Xenopus tropicalis: one gene and its partners. The protein of the gene in region 4 binds, or shares a complex with, the protein of the main gene of each other region. Links are inferred from orthologs where the notes say so. Each region holds a gene or a part of one and is shown on either strand. Other genes may lie near its edges. The genes, in order: kansl1, kansl2, phf20 and kansl3.

Region 1 (4,622 bases), on a different chromosome or scaffold from region 4:
AGCGAGCACACACATTTTCAGACCCCACAATCCGGGCCCGGACCCTGTTCCCTGGGCTCCCCCGCAACTGCGGGTTCTGCTTCCTCTATAGTTACGCCACTGCAACCACTGCTAAATCTGCTAGTTTGGTGAAGTCAGCAAATGATGGGATCTAGACCCAATTTGACCATGTTGGGCCAAATAGTGCTGATCTGATTTTTGCCCTAGAGGGGCCCACCGGAAAACCTTGGGCTCACTCTCCAAACTATTTTTCCTCCTTTCCTCACTCAACCACTTTATTCTCCAAGTTTCTTTTATTTACATGCTAGCATCTATCCTTCCATCTATTTTTCCTCTTTGTTCCTATTCAGAAATTGGGAATGACCATGAAGTAGGCCAAATGGTCAGGAGCAGGAGGGCCCACTGACGCCTGGGCCCACCGGGAGTTTTCCTGGTATCCTGGTGGGCCAGTCCAACACTGGTCAGGGATGCCACATACATGGGCCAGTAAGCTGCCTTAAGGCCAGCTCAGAAATGCTTAGCTGATGTTCAGTTTAAATATATATTGGAGAAAAGTACCTCAAGTTATGGGGGGGGGGGGGGTAACCTAGTGACATTTAGTTATACTTATGCCCTTTCTGCAAGCCTAACACTGAGACAGACTGAACCATGGAAGTGAGGTGAAGTCAGCACAGGACAGACAGGCTCTGGCACCTAAGGCAGCCAAATAGTGGGGTATATTATATAAGGACATATTTATAAGGGGAAAATATTTCAAATATGCTACTAAAAGGTAAAATTTAATAAATATGCACTTGTGTCACTGCTGTGCTTTGGTACAAGAAATTCTGCTTTTATCTGTGGCATAGATATCAGGAAGTGATTTCCACATGTTATTTCATGGGCAACAAATTGTCTTCAGATTTTAGGCTAGGGATAGCCAATATGTGTCCCAAAAGCTTTTGTTGAGCTATATAAGCCTTCAGGCCAGTGTGAGATTTACTAGTAATGGGGTGTGGGGGTAACCAAGTTACTCCTGGTAACTGCCATACATTGAGCTTATGGTGGCATTACACTTGTGCTCTTCAATTCCTCTCAGAGGATGCTGGGAGCTGTAGTTTAGGAATAACTGGGACGCTGTGTGACAGACCCCACATTCTTGCGCATTGAAGTCTCTTTGTGGATGGAAATTTTTACATAAAGATATGGTTCATGGCCCCCCCAAAACCATAACCCACTTTCCAGCTTTGGATATAGAGTATCCCTCCCTCGTCACTTCTCTGCAGATTTATAAACAATTAATTCAGCGCTCATGGTGCAAAGTGTCCCTATTTTAGCGGTCTCCCCATGTCCCATTAAAGCCCCCCTCCCCCTTATTCATATCCTGCAACCAGACACACAGTAGGGACACAGTAATCGCACAGGGCCTCGCCCCTTACAGCTTGACGGACAACTCATTAACCAATCGCGCGAAGCTCCTCCGGACCTTCACCAATCCGGAGCTTGCAAGGGAGGGTAAAGGGTGGCACCGGAGCCAGCAGTACTGGTTGAGCTGTGCAGGTAGGTGCAAACTGAGGGGTGCTTGGGGTGTGGGGTTCATGCACCAGGTGGCAGTGGGAGTGGGGGTAGAGCACCCCTGGGCATCCAGAGGAGGCTGGGCAGAGATGGAACAGCCCATTGCAAGAGTTGGGGATGAAGGGGGCTGTGAGGAATTCTCCAGTATTCTCTAGCAGTCAGCAGGCCAGATACACTAGATACTGGAACTTTATAGGATCAGCTGTGGGGGGAGCACAGCCCCAGTGCACACTACCACACTGTGCCACACATGCAGGGCAGACACTACTTATACTATATATGTTCACTCATACTAAATACATACAGGGGAGAACATACAAATACCACTGTCTACCAGAGTCCACCCTATTAAAAATTTCCACAAAATAAAAAAAAAAAAAAACTAAATCAGATAGCGTGAGTGAAAAAATATGACTATTTGTGATCCTAGATATCAATGGATGATGCAGAGGAACCCCCCAAACTGGCCTTTGGCAGACAATGCTACAAGGATGCCTCCGAGGAACAGCCGGGATGAGGCAACAAGGATCCATGGATCAAATGAAAATCGGTACAGTCTGATAATATGGTGAGTAAGCGCCATGCTTTTATAATGTGAGTCTTTAATAGCACTGAAAGGACAGGACAGGTCCTACAGAAATTCCTTTATCTCCATTTATTCTGGGGTTACAGTAAAAGAGTGGTAACCATAAAAATGAAATGAAACACATATAAATCTTATATAATTAGTGATAATTTTAATGCAAACTGCAATGACTTCTAAGCAGCATACAGTGTGCCTCTAAATGATGATAGCGGATGTCCGGTATTAAAATGTGCAAGCAAATGTGAGGCCATGGACCTCTGACGGAGGTAGGCGAGATGGCAGGCATTTTGTTACCCTCTGTCACTTTTCCACTGGAAGGCAGTGGCACACAGAATCCTTGTCCTGTGCCATTAGCCTAAATATCTGTAGTGGGAAAAGAAATGGGTAGCAATCCAGTGCACATTGCTAAGGCTGCACATCCAGACTGGGTGCCCATGGCTGAAGGGAACAGTAACTTTCTTGAAGTAAACACGACCCACAGCTTTGCCTTACTAATGCTGCTCCTTGCCTTACAGCTCACCAGCATTGCTCTTTTCTTTCTTGGGGTCTGGATGAACTTATTTATCTCGACTTCTCATAAGGAGGTCTGGAATGGGATATAAAATAGGCCATGGCATATCATGTACAGAGAGGCCAAAAAATCCCAATAAATAGTGACTGTCTATGGCAGGGGTGTCAAACTCAATCACATAAGGGGGCCAAAATCTAAAACACAGGCTAAGCTGCGGGCTGAATTTTTTATTAAGATACTTAATCTTACTAAAGGATAGATCCTTCCTCACCCTGAAACACCATATCACACGCCATCTTCGTGCATTAATTATGTTTTGAAAATAACAGCAGTTCAGGCCGCATGCCTTGTGTTTGACACGTGGTCTATGGCATCTTATACCAGCCCCTCTGGCATTTGCCAGAATCTGTAGACTGCGAGTCCGGGCCTGCTCATAGGACATGGGTCACATCAGACAAGTGGATTAGTTAGGGGATGGTGAGATAGCAGTCAGGGTTAGTGGTTCATGTCTTGGAAAATCCATGGTAGGGATGGTCTATGGGTAAAGCCAGATGGTTGAATATTACAAGAAACATCCCTTAGACCCTGTTCCTCACTGTTACCATTTGTGAGTGTGGGAGTCCTCATTGCTGACCATAGTCGATAGGGATCATTGACAACACAGCCTATCACTGGAAATGGTAATGCCCTGGGGCCTTTTACTAGATGCTTCTCCCAGCTGCTTTAACATTAGAGCTTGGTCTGCCTCTGCAGCCTGCTTAATTTGTGAGGAGCATGTAATTTTAAAAACGTAGTCCATATACTATTAAAAAAATATGGGGCAGCACCTGGCCATTCTACCTTTAATTATCCTATTTCCTCTGCAATTATGCTTTTCTTTGTTCCCTTTTTATTTTTTTAATTCAGTTGCCAGCTTCTTTCATGATATCCCACAGCCAATTCCATGTGTAATACCCCAGAACACATAGCAACAAAAATGCTGTGGAAATTTAATTTAAAATACATCTTAGATTACCTTGCAGGATTACCTGTAATGTCTGTTTCACATAAAATATCACAGAAACATAGTAGGATAAATGCATTGCCAATTCCATTTATAATGCCCTCAGAACTTATGCCTGTTCCATATATAATGCCCCCAAAACACATGCCAGATCCATATATTTAGCCCCCAGAACACATGCCAAATCCATATATATAATGCCTCCAGAAAAAATGTAATATAATACAGTCTCAGTTTCATGCATAATAATCCCACAACACATGTGAGGACAAGAGGATTGGTTATCAGGGAATATGAAGTGGGTCATTACCTAGGGAATCTAAAAATTATGGAGGATGAGGAGGATGATTTATGAATTAGGAGAGGAATTTTATTATGGGCAAGAATTTGTAAGTGTCAGTGATCCAGCTATTCTGTAATTGCAGATCTCAAAATGTAACAATTAGCTGAGCTTGCAATGCATGTTGAGAGTTGTAGTCGTGTCACAGTGGCAGAAGCACTCTACCCCTAATGTAGGACAGTGGTCAGGATTAGAAGGAGAGGTGTGACAGTAGGAAGCAAACAATAATAAAATTTAGATGTAAGAAAGACAACCCTCTCAAGGTCTATTTAATTTACTTGAGACTCCTTGAGATAACTTCAATTTATTACAAACAATTTATTATAAACAGAAGTACAATTTGTTATATTAATGAACTAGTGTTTATTATTGCAGCCCCCTGGTCTTATTCATAGCACTTACTATAGCACTTGTCACTTGAATAAGACTAGGGGCTGCAATAATAAATACTAGTGCATTAATATAACAAACTGTTCTAGTATTCTGTATGGAGAAGAAAATTGAAGTGATCTCAAAAGGTGTCTTTTTTTTTTTTCCTCTAAAAAAATAAATTGATTAGACCTTTGAGAGGGTTGTCTTTTTTCCTTAATTTCATTATAGTTTAACTTCACTCTCACAAGATATTCTG
Region 2 (3,862 bases), on a different chromosome or scaffold from region 4:
CAAGCTGTCTTCATCTGGTCAGAAAAAATAAGACTATTACATGTGTGTTTTTGACCAGTATATGTTTGGGTTATTAGCCGTGGAGATGAAGTGACAGTGGTAAGGGGACAAAGTTAGACACTGATTACAGCTATTTAGGGAACCATAGGGGAAATGAGATACAAAGATTAGTCGTCCACAATAAATCTCCTCTACCGCATCATATTTGCCTAAAATCAATACACAACTTTATACATGCATGTAGTCTTATACTGCAGCGTTTAAGGTGCTTTGGTTTATTTAAAGGGATAGTGTCATGATTTTGATGGTATACTTTTTTTTTTTTTTTCTAAATTACTCTGTTTATATTGAAAATAATTCACTACCATTTAAAATTTTATTCTTGAACCAACAAATGTAATTTTGTTTAGTCGTAATATTAGTGTGTAGGTGCCATCTCAGTGCATTGTGTCCGAGTCTGTGCTTTTAGAAGGAGCCAGTGCTATACATCAGAACTGCTTTCAAGTAACCTATTGTCTCTCCAACTCCCATGGAACTGGAGGAGTCCCAAGACGGACTTGGATTTCTAGCTATTGAGTGCTATTCTGATTTCTACTGGGAGCTGCTATCTTGCTCCCTTCCCATTGTTCTGCTGATTGGCTGCTGGGAGGAGGAAGATATCACTCCAAGAGAATCCGCCCCGTGTGGCACTAGCCTACAGGGCAGTGGTTGCCTATGCACATGGGCTGCCCACAGTCTACATTTTCATTAAATAATAGTAGAAATAAGACATCCTTTAAATCAGTTACAAAACATTTTGGTAACTCAGCTTTCTTATTCATATTAACTTCACTATGTTATTAAAAAAAACAGCAGTGATGAGTATAGAAGAAAAAACAAAGCAAAAAAAAAATAACACACAAATGTGAACACACCAAGAATCCTGCAGGCTTCACTTCTGCTGCTTTCCTGTATCTGAGAGCCCAGCTCACTCCGGGCATATGTATTCAGCTGATACAACAGAGACTCACTAGTCGGTCCTGGGTTTGATTTCTTTATTTGAGCTTGGAGTGCTAATGCATTCCGACGCGCATGCTCTGCACAGAATGAAACCCTGCCAATATTGTAGAACAAGAAATTACTAATTATAAAAGTACATATTACATATCATAACACAAAAACTAACAAAACATAAAATATTCATTTTTGAAGCATTTATTTTGATAAAAAGCAGTATACCCCCTTGTTTAATGTGAATGCAATAAATATTGTTTGTGCTGATCATACTTTGTCTCTTGATTTAATCATGAGCAATCAATGTTTTGTTTTATTTCCTGAGCTAAACAGGAAAAACAGGGAAACAAAAGCTACTCATGATTGAGCTTTGCAAAGCAGATTAGATTCCCAGTGCCCAGACACCCACTCAGCATGTTATCTGTGCACTGGTAATATAATTATCCACCTTTAAAAAACCAAACACACAGTGTCTTCAGTTTTCCCTGTTTGACCTCTTAAAAGAAAAATAACACTAAAATTTAAGTAAAAAAAATGTATTCTACCCTGCCCCAATAATTGCCCTATCCTGCAAACCACTTAGTATTTTGAATGCTTTATTAGAAAATACCTGCTAAAACTTCCGGTCATTTGAAATAAGGCAATACGGCGAAGGAAGGAGCAGCATCCACTATGCAATGATCAATTGATCTAGCCTAGCCTTTCTTCTGTACTAGGCTTGCTCAATCGATCGTCGCATAGTGGATGCTGCTCCTTCCTTCGCCATATCACCTTATTTCAAATGACCGAAAGCCAAGTTTTAGCAGGTATTTTCTAACAAAGCATTCAAAATACTAAGTGGTTTGCAGGATAGGGCAATTATTGGAGCAGGTAGAACAGATTTTTTTACTTAAAAAAAATGTTAGTGTTACTTTTCCTTTAAGCTCCAACATAGTACTGTAAGTTAAGGGTTCAAGAAGCTAGAAATCAAGGAAGTCAAGTGGACAAGAGACAATATAGACAGTCTTAAGGTGGCCATATACCTTCAGATCCGCTCACTTTCGCCAAGCCAAGCGAGCGGATCTTCTACCGATATCCCCCACCTACGGGTGGGCGATATCAGGCGAATCCAGGCTAATTCGGTCGTGGGGCCAAACTTACAAATTAGAATAACAGGTATAGGCGAAGTCAAATCGATGCGGTCCCCGATCTGACTACATTTTTTAACCTGCCTGATTGATATCTGAATGATTTCAGGCTAGATGTCGGTCGGGCAGGCCCCTCGTTTGTGCCCCTACACGGGTCTAAGGGACCGATATCGGCAGCTACAATCGGCCCATGTATGGCCACCTTTAGGCTAATGCCCCACGGAGAGATTAGTCACCGCAACAAATCTTTGCTGCCACAGGCGACTATTTACCCCAAAATACCCTTCCAAAGTGAACCACTGGTATAAAGGCATACGCGTCACTTTGTTTTAAGAAAGTTGCACAAAAATTTCCTCCTGCAGGCAACTTTGAAAAACAAAGCACTGCTTATACCTTCCCACAGGCAATTCAAATGTTGCCGCTCGAAAGGCATTTCGGAGATAAGTTATCTGCTGTAGCAGAAATTCATTGCAATGGCATGGCAGTTAATCTCTCTGTGGGGCATTAGCCTTAAATCTCTATTCTTGTGGGAGGTGAACCTGGCAGGGGTTTGTTGTGGGAGTTTGTTAGCAGTTGGAAATAGCTATTAAATGGTCCCAAAGGTGTGTAATTATGTACTGGGGTTGCTCTGCTATCCACAGGGGAGGAGGAGGCATATGGACTTTAAGGGTATATCTTAATATGACATAATTCTTTCACATATGAATGATGGTTGATATCCCCACAGTAAGGACCAAGCATTTGGGATTTTGGTGTGGTTTGAAGTGGGTGTGGTTTCAAAAAGGGGAGTGGTCAAAACTGGCTTCCATTAGCGGCCCTCCACCATGTATGCTAGAGAAATTCCGGCCCTCGGCACCGTAGAAGTTGGACAGCACTGCTCTAGGTAATCTGTGTAAAAGGGAATGTAGTAACATGCGCATGTCATCTGGATCTAAAGGCCACCACTATATAATAAACATTTAGAAGGCAAATATACAGATCAATCCCATTAGCTTTCAGGACTATTTCTCTATAACTTTAAAAAAAAATTTCCAGTAGGCGGTGCTGCTCATTTGGTTTCTAGAGAATGCCTCAACTAAAAATATAATATATGGCAACTGCTGCTAGGCGTTCTATTGACCAGACTCCAATACTAAAAAAAATGCTTCGCCAGGGACCTTTTTCCTGACCTAATACAGTTTCTTTATTAGAGTGGAGTTGCTTTGCCTGATTGGAGAGAGTATCACCTTGCATTTAGGCTGTAGCATATTTCAATCCATTCACAGCAATAAAGGTTCTGGGCCAGTAGCCCGGAGAATCAGCCCCTACTCTGGTACCAGCCTGCTACCTTGCCTGCACCTCAGGCAGATGTGGCGGATATCAGCCAAAAAATGTTTTTCGCATTTCCAGCCAATATCCAGTGCATCAGCAAGGTAGAAAGCTGGTGCCTGTGTAGGGGCTGATACTCAGCATGTGTTTTTCCACAGGCCAAGAATCAGCCCCATGTGGCACAAGCCTGACCCTCTCAAAGGGTATATATCATTAACAACAAGTATTTTCCAGTGAATATTGAAACACTGCTATTTAAGTACTAAAGTCCATCTTTTTGGGTCATAAAGCACTGTGCTCACACACAAGCCATGGGCAAGCATGTACACAGGTATAGGACCAGTTATCCAAAATGCTCAGGACCAAGGGTATTCCGGATAAGGGGCCTTTCCGTAATTTGGATCTACATACCTTAAGTCTAAAAAAATAAAAAT
Region 3 (4,615 bases), on a different chromosome or scaffold from region 4:
TGTGGGGTGCATGGGCCCCTGTGGCAGAAGCCCTGGTGGGCCCTGCAACCCCAGTCCAACCCTGGCCTACAGTCTGCCCCAGGTCAAAGTGTGGGGGGGGGGGGCTACATCTCTCTGCACCACAAGAGACAAATTTTGGTTTAATAAGACTTTGCCACTGCTGGTAACATGGAGGGCCCTACCCAGGTCTGGACTGTGATTTAAAATAGGCCCTGGCATTTTAGTTACTCAGAGGTACCCCACAGCAACTTAAATTTAGGGCCCCAAAATACTAGACAGTTGAAATATTCTATCAAGAAATGTTGAAATTGCCCACTAATTAGGACCTCACTGAGCCCTCTACACTCCTGCCCCACCCCCCTGTTCCTCTGTAGTTAAACCCCAGCTCAGAGACCCAAACAGCCCCCCCCCCAGCCCAATAGTGACTGTCTATGGCACCTTACAGCAACCCCTCTGGCATTTGCCTGAACCCACAGATTGCCAGTCTGGGCCTGGGCCCTGGCATTCCAAGTACCCAGAGGCCCAAACAGCCCCCCCAGCCCAATAAATAGTGACTGTCTGTGGCATCTTACAGCAGCCCCTCTGGCATTTGCCTGAACCCACAGATTGCCAGTCTGGGCCTGGGCCCTGGCATTCCAAGTACCCAGAGGCCCAAACAGCCCCCCCAGCCCAATAAATAGTGACTGGCTGTGGCACCTTACAGCAGCCCCTCTGGCATTTGCCTGAACCCACAGATTGCCAGTCTGGGCCTGGGTCCTGGCATTCCAAGTACCCAGAGGCCCAAACATCCCCCCCTCCCCCAGCCCAATAAATAGTGACTGTCTATGGCATCTTACAGCAACCCCTCTGGCATTTGCCTGAACCCACAGATTGCCAGTCTGGGCCTGGGTCCTGGCATTCCCAGTACCCAGAGGCCCAAACAGCCCCCCCAGCCCAATAAATAGTGAGTGACTATGGCATCTTACAGCAGCCCCTCTGGCATTTGCCTGAACCCACAGATTGCCAGTCTGGGCCTGGGTCCTGGCATTCCCAGTACCCAGAGGCCCAAACAGCCCCCCCCCCAGCCCAATAAATAGTGACTGTCTATGGCATCTTACAGCAGCCCCTCTGGCATTTGCCTGAACCCACAGATTGCCAGTCTGGGCCTGGGTCCTGGCATTCCAAGTACCCAGAGGCCCAAACAGCCCCCCCAGCCCAATAAATAGTGACTGTCTATGGCACCTTACAGCAGCCCCTCTGGCATTTGCCTGAACCCACAGATTGCCAGTCTGGGCCTGAAAACCCAAATCCTTTTCTAATTCTTAATTCACACCCCCAATCAAATTAAAAGTAAAATACAAAATAAAGCACCTGGTGAGACTCAGCACCTGCATGCCAGGATTTATTGTAAGGCTGTGGGCTGGTAAGGTGCAGTATAACAGCTGGAGGGCCATTGGTTGGTCGTGACTGACGTAACCAGCAAAGCACCTAACAATTGTCACACAGTAAATAGCCTTTCTGCTAGAGGCCTTTGCTACTGGGTGGCCATGACGTGCTCACACCTAAAACACAACCCAGACTAAATCATATCCACGCATTTTTCTTGTTCCTTCAGACATTGCGCCTGTCACAAAGTTTACAGTGAGTCAGCACATCACTTCCCTCATGCGCCACAGCCAATTCTTTCTCAGGAAGGTCTGGGGCGGAGCGCACAGAAAAACCGCGCCAAACTCATTCATCAGCTGACCGCGCTGACCAATCCCTGCCCCGCTATTTTCCTGGCGGGGCGGGCGGGGAAAATCGAATTCCCCGCCCAGAACGCGGGTACGCGCCCCGTTGTACAGCCGTCCCCTTCTCTTCTGTAGGTGCGCGTCCGTGTCATTAAGTGTTATGGGGCGGGGGCGCGCCTTGCCATGCCGCGCAGTGTGAAAAAAGAAGGAGGCGGTGGTGGTGCCTGTTCTTGTGAGGGAGGATAATGATTTATATGTGACTGGAAGAGCTCACTGACACACCGGGAGGTGGAAAGGTTGAAAGTCGGAGGGAAATTACTAAGGAAAAGCGAAGAGAAGCCAAGGAGTGACAGAGCTCAGGTACTGCGTGCTCTATCCTGCTGCTGCTGCTGCTGACAGGGGCGGGATGCTGGGGCTGCCGGTTGCTGGGTAGAACAATGGTCACATGGGCGGGGCGCTCATTCCCTGTACTTGTGATGCAGGTGGGGGGGCGCCTCCGGGACTCTCCGCCATTACTTTATGTATTTTTTTAAGGTTTTGGGGGTGAAGAGAAAGGTTGCTGAGTGGGGAAGGCAGGCCTGCAGCGGCCGGTCTTTTCCCTGCCTGATAATGATGGAGCGGTAAGGGAACCAATTACGTGCGTAGAATAGCTTGACAGACGGCTGCTTGAACCAATGAGCGCGGAGGGGCGGTACTTGCCATGCTTTCTGAAGTCCCTTTAAAAGACGCTGCTGTCTAAAGGAAACGCGGTCGAAACGTTGTGCCATGTGGAGATACGGTCTTCCGTTATCTTATATAAAGAAGATGGAATGACCAGGGCTTTAGGGTGCCTAGGATCCCCAGCTTTTCAGGGGGACCCCATCTGGGGGAAAAATACGAATTTATTGAAATTGTTGGATATAGGTACAGTGCAATTCAGCAACGTTTTAATATATATTTTGTATCATCTCATTATTCTTCAAACAGCCTGGCTTAGTTGGAGTGCTGGGAGTTGCAGTTCATCTAGTTGTAGGATCACATGGTGGCTATCCCAGAACTCTATTACTCCCTCTTACCCATAGGATGGGGTCCCAGCCTTCCTACTATGTGAAGGGTTAACATATCTGGCCCCTTGATGGTAAATGCTACTCCTATATAAAACTGTCCCTTTAAATCAGTGCTTATGGGATTTTGCTGCACTGAATACAAATCAGTGGGCAGGGGAAGCCGAGCCATGTTGTGTGGCTGTGTGACGCAACCTGTTGGTGAACTTTGTAAACATCGGTCATTTCCAGGATTCAAACCCACCCAGAGGATGCGCAGCCAATCTGGGCCACGCACAGCTGTCTGTAGGGGGGTACAGATAGGGGCAGCCAAACCGCTGTCCGTAGAGCAGAACTTGGATGAGGACGGCTAAGAAAAAGTCCATTATAACAATGTTAGTCATCTCTTTTCTGAGACAGGGAATATGCTGTGACTGGGGGGCTGGAGCCCTGGGGTCTAGATTTCCATTCCTGCAGGAACCAACCTGCTAGGAGTCTGTATGATTTACCTACGTCTGTAGGTTTTCTGCTGCGCTCAGTAGTAACACACAGGTTAATTGGCTTGCAAGGGAATTGACCTCAAGGAACTTCAGTGGGGCAATAACCAATGTAGTAGATATTGAACAATCCCAATATAAAGCTTGGTTTAACAGCTCAACATGATAGCAATAAAGTAAAGATGCACCAGCTGTGGTTGAACTTCAACAGTTTATGTGAGTGTATAGATTGGTAGGTGTGGGTTGGGTGTGCTGGGTTTACTTGGATGGGTTGAACTTGATGGACACTGGTCTTTTTTCAACCCTATGTAACTATGTAACTCACAGCATCAGTGACTGTTAGGTAGTTATAGTTCAGCAACAGAGACACAACTGCAGTTCAGCACCAATGACCTTTTGCTGTTGGGATGCTGGGGATTTTAGAAGGTTTGAATCAAGGCTGTGTCTTAGCAAGATCCGGGGAGCTGCAAATTGTACATACCCCAAGGGCAGGTTATAGGAAGAATTGTGGTGTTTTTAGTGGGTTTGAGGAGTATTTATAATTATTATTAACATTTATTTATAAAGCGCCAACATATCCCGCAGCGCTGTACAATAAGTGGGTTACATACATTGGACATACAGAGCAACATATAAAGCAATCAATAACCGATACAAGAGGTGAAGAGAGCCCTTGGGGCAAGAGGTTGTCTGGCTTTGGGTGCTGAAACCCTGCGGGGTCTGTAATGGGTTGCAGAAGTGAAAAGGAGTTATTGCTTTAAATAATAGTAGGTATTTTGCTTGTGTAGTTTATATGCACACGTGGTTCTGCTCTATTAGATATTTACCATAAGGAAAGGCAGACTTTATTCTTTTTACGCCCTTAAATCTGTGGTTTGAATGGTTTTGTTCTTTATTTTACGTTATTGATGTCACTGTCCGAGAGAAAAAATAACTACTGGAAATGGGTCAGAAAACTCACAGTATAGATAAAAATATGGCTAAACGGATATTTTCCAGCCCTTTTAAAGTTACAGTAGAATTTAAAGTGATGTTCCTTTTTTGACAAACACAACAGTGATTGTAATCTCACATGTGTCACCCGGGTCACATGCGTCTCCTTAATCTCCTATGAGTCTTTTGTGCAGACGTTCTTATAGATGCAGTTCACCTTCCACACACAATCAGACCCTAGGCCTGTGCAAATATCTTGGAACATTACTAGATACAATTTGAGTCTAGGTGTGCTTTATTGATATATTTTTTGTTTAGCTGCTGTCTGTGACCAGTATCCCTGCACATACATCTGTCAACCCAACCCCATGTATAAAGGTGGGTATACACGAACCCATTCCGGCAGCTTATCGGCCTGTGTATGGGCACGGACGGCTTGCCAGAGATCAGCCAG
Region 4 (4,446 bases):
AACTCCCTGGTTTGGGGGCACTGAGAGCAACATCCAAGGGGTTGGTGAGCAACATGTTGCCCCCGAGCGAATGGTTGGGGATCACTGCCTTAGAATACCATTATTTATCAGATATATTTACAAAGCATTCCCCCATGAAAGAGATCAATGGAATGAAATCTGGGAATCTCTTAATGCCCTGACCAACCTAGGCCATGTGCTGAGCAGAAGTCCCACTGTAAATAAGTATTTAAATATACTATATACTGTAGTATATATTTTTTCACAAATATGTTTCCTTTTTAGCCAAATAGGGATCAGATGTGCTGGTTGCAGCAGATATTGTTGGCAACCAGGACAAAAGTGTAGTTCCCAGTTGGGGCTTGGTCCAAAGGCACCATGAGCAAGAGGCTGAGGGTTGTATCATTCACAACTAGGAAAAAAAAACTTTTTGTTTCCAGTCACAAGTCAGTACTTTCTGCAGATAACAAAATTAATTTTACTTTTCGTTAAACATTGAGTGCAGAGACTGCAAACAACTAGAAAAAGTGATAACCTTCTTGTGCAGATATATATGACTTGATACAATGTTGGGCACAGCTGCTCCAGCAGCAGTAGTTATTGGGCTATTACCCACACTCATCAAGAATAAAACAAAGTCGGATTTTTGTTCCCCAACACAATTAAAGGGGTGGTTAACTTTTAGCATGTTATATAATCACCTATTCTAAGTAACTTTTCGTTGGTCTTCGTTATTTATTTGTAATAGTTTTTAATATATTTGCCTTTGCAGCTTTCAAATAGAGGACACTGACCCCGGCAGCCTCTCCTATTCATATATCAGTCTCTCATCCAAACCACCCCCTGGTTGCTACGTTAACATGGACCCTAGCAACCAAATAACTGCTTACAATTCCAAACTGGTGAGCTCCTGAACTGAAAATGAAATAACTTAAAAACTACAAATAATAAAAAATGAAGACCAATTGTACATTGTGTGAATATGACTCTCCGATCCATAGTTAACTCAAAGGTCAACGACCCCTTCAACAGTGGGCTGAGACACAACTGCATAGTCGCAGCTACATTTCAGGAACAGAGGCGCTATCGCCTGCCGTCAAACAAGACAACCAACTCGAAAAGTCTTTTTCATGTTCCTTTACAAAAACCGAGGCCGCAAGCAAAGATACAACCCTCACAGTCAACAGCAGCTGACCCTAAATGGCTACCACCTCTTACTAACTTGTACACTGAAGCGCTCCACCCATTCGCGTCACTCACTCACGCAAGGCTCCTACGTATTGCGGCACTCTCTCACGCAAGGCTCCTACGTACGCGTCACTGCGTTATTACGTGAGTTCGTGACGTCTCGCGAGATGAGACTTGAGATGTCGGGATTCGCTGTTCGGCAGAGGCTGAGGTGCGGAGCGTTTTAGCAGCGATCCGGGCTGCGGGTTGTGTGAAGCGGCACTGTTGGGCGGTATGCATGTATGTTACACAGCCGTACTTCAGCTCGCACAGGGCTTAGGGTGCGGAGAGCATACGCCTCGGCCCCTCACAATTTTAGGGGCGTCACCGTGGAAACAAGTAATCATATAATAGATGTGTGTCCTGTACACATCAGGGATGTACAAGTTGTAGCCTTCCGCCTTTTGTTTATCTGCAGCTCTCTGCATCTCCTATAGATAGTTAGCTCTCAGGATCAGGGCCCTCTTTACCTCCTGTGTTTGAATGTATGGTGTATTCACTCTGCTGTTGTACAGAGCTTGCCACCTTATACATCCATGTTAGTAATGATAGCTGTGCTGATGCAGAGTGTTGCATTGCCTATGAACTCCATGACATTTTGCCCTGCATGTTGGTTGCCCAACCATCCTGGGGCCCCCTCAGTGCACATTTGTCCCCAGTGACACTTTCTGTCATATTCATAATGTAAGAGGGAGCTTAATTAGTAGGTTTGTATTTTCCCATTGTATTGTTGCCTCATTTTCTGACATCACGTCATGACATGGGCAGATTTAGGGTGAAGACACACGGCTACTAGTAGCAGCTACTTGTCATGGCTACAGAACTAGACAGTGCTGATCTTTTACAGGGTATTTTTTTGGTGATTAGTAGCTGTAACAAGTAACTGCTACTGAGTAGCTCTGTGTGTCCTTGCCCTTAAAGGAACAGTAACACCAAAAAATGAAAGTGTATAAAAGTAATTACAATATAATGTACTGTTGCCCTGCATTGCTACAACTGGTGTGTTTGCCTCAGAAAGACTACTATAGTTTATATAAGTAAGCTGCTGTGTAGCCATGGGGGCAGCCATTCAAAGGAGAAAAGGCACAGGTTACTTAGCAGATAACAGATAAACCCTCATTATATGGGGCTTATCTACTAGTTATCTGCTATGTAACCTGTGCCTTTTCTCCTTTTTTCCAGCTTGAATGGCTGCCCCCATGGCTACACAGCAGCTTATTTATATAGTAGCTTTTCTGTAGCAAAAAACACCATTTTTTTGCTGGGCAGCAGTACATTATATTTTAATTACTTTAAAGGAGAAGGAAAGGCTAAGTCACTTGGGGGTGCCAAAATGTTAGGCACCCCCAAGTGACTTAGAACGCCTACCTTGTACCCCGGGCTGGTGCCCCTGTACGGAGAGAACAGCACCAGCCCGGGGTAGCTGCCGGCGCTTCCTCCTTCCTCCTCGCTGCGCGCGCATGCGCAGTAGAGTGAAAAGCCGAACTTAAACATTAAAGTCGGCTTTTCACTCTACTGCGCATGCGCCGGCCGGCGGATTTCGCCGGCAGCGCGCAAAGGAAGGAGGAAGCGGTGTCTACAGGTGCCCCGGGCTGGTGCTGTTCCCTCCGTACAGGGGCACCAGCCTGGGGTACAAGGTAGGCGCTCTAAGTCACTTGGGGGTGCCTAACATTTTGGCACCCCCAAGTGACTTAGCCTTTCCTTCTCCTTTAAAACACTTAAATTTTTTGATGTTACTGTTCCTTTAAGCATCTTACCTGCCTGTTTATGGGCCCACCCTGGCTGATTACCTGATGAAAATTGGGCAGATACTTATCAAGCAGGTTTGAAAATATTGGCAGGCAGGGGCTGGCATTGGTGTGTTCATGCGGTCTTCTCCTGACACTATAGGCACCTATTATGATCCATTCATTAGCCCAGAGACTAAACAATTGGATCAGCCCAATTTGGCCCAGAACGTAGGTGGTCAAATTGGGCAACAATAGAATCGTTTGGCAAAAGTCCAGATCTTAATGTGTATAGTTAGCAGGGAAGACCATAAGAATTTTTTTTCTGATTGTACAAATATTTAAATATTATCTTACGTATTTATCAACACAACTTTGTCAGTATTCATGTTCAAGCTGATGTGAAGGGGTAAGTAGTTTACCTTTAAATTAAAGGGCATTTATCATAGTAAAGTTTCTACCTTCACTGGTGGTGCTGTCTGGTAGAGCTTGCAGTCAGTTCTTTGTTGAGCAATATGCCGTCTGCCCCGGAGGGAGCTCCCAGTATGGGTGGATACATTGGGGCACACGTGCTCATTATGAGTGTGTGCCCCAGTTGGCTCACTGTATGCATGCGTGTGGTGTAGGATAAGGGGGACGAAATCACCAATCCTGTGTCACAGGTTTTCCTCTTCTGACATTGTCTAGCTTTCATTGGGGTCCTGTTTTGTCTACAGTTGTATTATTTATTATTGTCTTTCTATTCAGGTCCTCTTCTTTTAATCTTCCTGTGTTTTATTAACACCAGCTTGTTTGCTACCATCCCTTTAATAACAATTTTGTTTATTGTACTGAAGGATTAAGAGTTGTGTGTGTATTTGTGTAAGGGCTTTTACAGGTGGGGTTTTCTGTATGTTTGAGACAAAGGTTTAATCGCACCTTCTTGTTTTAACACGTTAAAATATAATTGGGAAATGTATATTTATCTAGAAAAGCTACAAATTGGATGGGTGAAGTTAAGTGCCAGAAGCACATGACATGCTTCAGGCTATTTTTTGGGGGAAATGGGTCCTCTAAGGTCCCTGTAACACAGGTCTGGGCTAGGACCCAAAACAGGCCCTGGTATTTCAAGTACACAGAGGCCCAAAAAGCCCCTCACCAGCCCAATAAATAGTGACTGTCTATGGCATCTTACAGCAGCCCCTCTGGCATTTGCCAGAACCCACAGATTGTGGATATAATAAATAGGCTAGTGTTGGTGGAGATATACATGGGAGTATGCATATACAGCAGAAATGGTCTTATACAAAGCATTGCAACCTTCAGGCTTTTTTAGATCTAGTTGCTGTTTAAAGATGCACATTCGTGATGAAGATAATAATAGTAATAAACTCAAGTGTTGACTGCATGTTTTTAGTCTTACAGAAGAAAGTATATCCTGTTTACAATTCAGCTGTCTGAAAGTTTTTTTATGGTATTTATGCTGATAGTCTAAAATCAATCAATTTTGTAA

The links.
Region 1: kansl3 (region 4) and kansl1 share a complex: the UniProt entries of both Homo sapiens proteins name them as parts of the NSL complex. The link is inferred for Xenopus tropicalis from reciprocal best matches to the Homo sapiens genes KANSL3 and KANSL1.
Region 2: kansl3 (region 4) and kansl2 share a complex: the UniProt entries of both Homo sapiens proteins name them as parts of the NSL complex. The link is inferred for Xenopus tropicalis from reciprocal best matches to the Homo sapiens genes KANSL3 and KANSL2.
Region 3: kansl3 (region 4) and phf20 share a complex: the UniProt entries of both Homo sapiens proteins name them as parts of the NSL complex. The link is inferred for Xenopus tropicalis from reciprocal best matches to the Homo sapiens genes KANSL3 and PHF20.

The regions. Positions count from the first base shown.
Region 1 is NC_030686.2:17,302,648-17,307,269, reverse strand, and holds the start of kansl1 (KAT8 regulatory NSL complex subunit 1), read left to right. Parts: upstream 1-1,507; 5' UTR 1,508-1,539; intron 1,540-1,984; 5' UTR 1,985-2,122; intron 2,123-4,622. UniProt on the Homo sapiens protein: Non-catalytic component of the NSL histone acetyltransferase complex, a multiprotein complex that mediates histone H4 acetylation at 'Lys-5'- and 'Lys-8' (H4K5ac and H4K8ac) at transcription start sites and promotes transcription initiation.
Region 2 is NC_030678.2:135,662,916-135,666,777, forward strand, and holds part of kansl2 (KAT8 regulatory NSL complex subunit 2), read right to left. Parts: intron 1,094-3,862; coding exon 915-1,093; intron 15-914; coding exon 1-14. UniProt on the Homo sapiens protein: Non-catalytic component of the NSL histone acetyltransferase complex, a multiprotein complex that mediates histone H4 acetylation at 'Lys-5'- and 'Lys-8' (H4K5ac and H4K8ac) at transcription start sites and promotes transcription initiation.
Region 3 is NC_030686.2:42,973,390-42,978,004, forward strand, and holds the start of phf20 (PHD finger protein 20), read left to right. Parts: upstream 1-1,803; 5' UTR 1,804-2,069; intron 2,070-4,615. UniProt on the Homo sapiens protein: Methyllysine-binding protein, component of the MOF histone acetyltransferase protein complex.
Region 4 is NC_030679.2:125,205,024-125,209,469, reverse strand, and holds the start of kansl3 (KAT8 regulatory NSL complex subunit 3), read left to right. Parts: upstream 1-1,307; 5' UTR 1,308-1,399; exon of another isoform or gene 1,400-1,467; intron 1,468-1,480; exon of another isoform or gene 1,481-1,566; intron 1,567-4,446. UniProt on the Homo sapiens protein: Non-catalytic component of the NSL histone acetyltransferase complex, a multiprotein complex that mediates histone H4 acetylation at 'Lys-5'- and 'Lys-8' (H4K5ac and H4K8ac) at transcription start sites and promotes transcription initiation.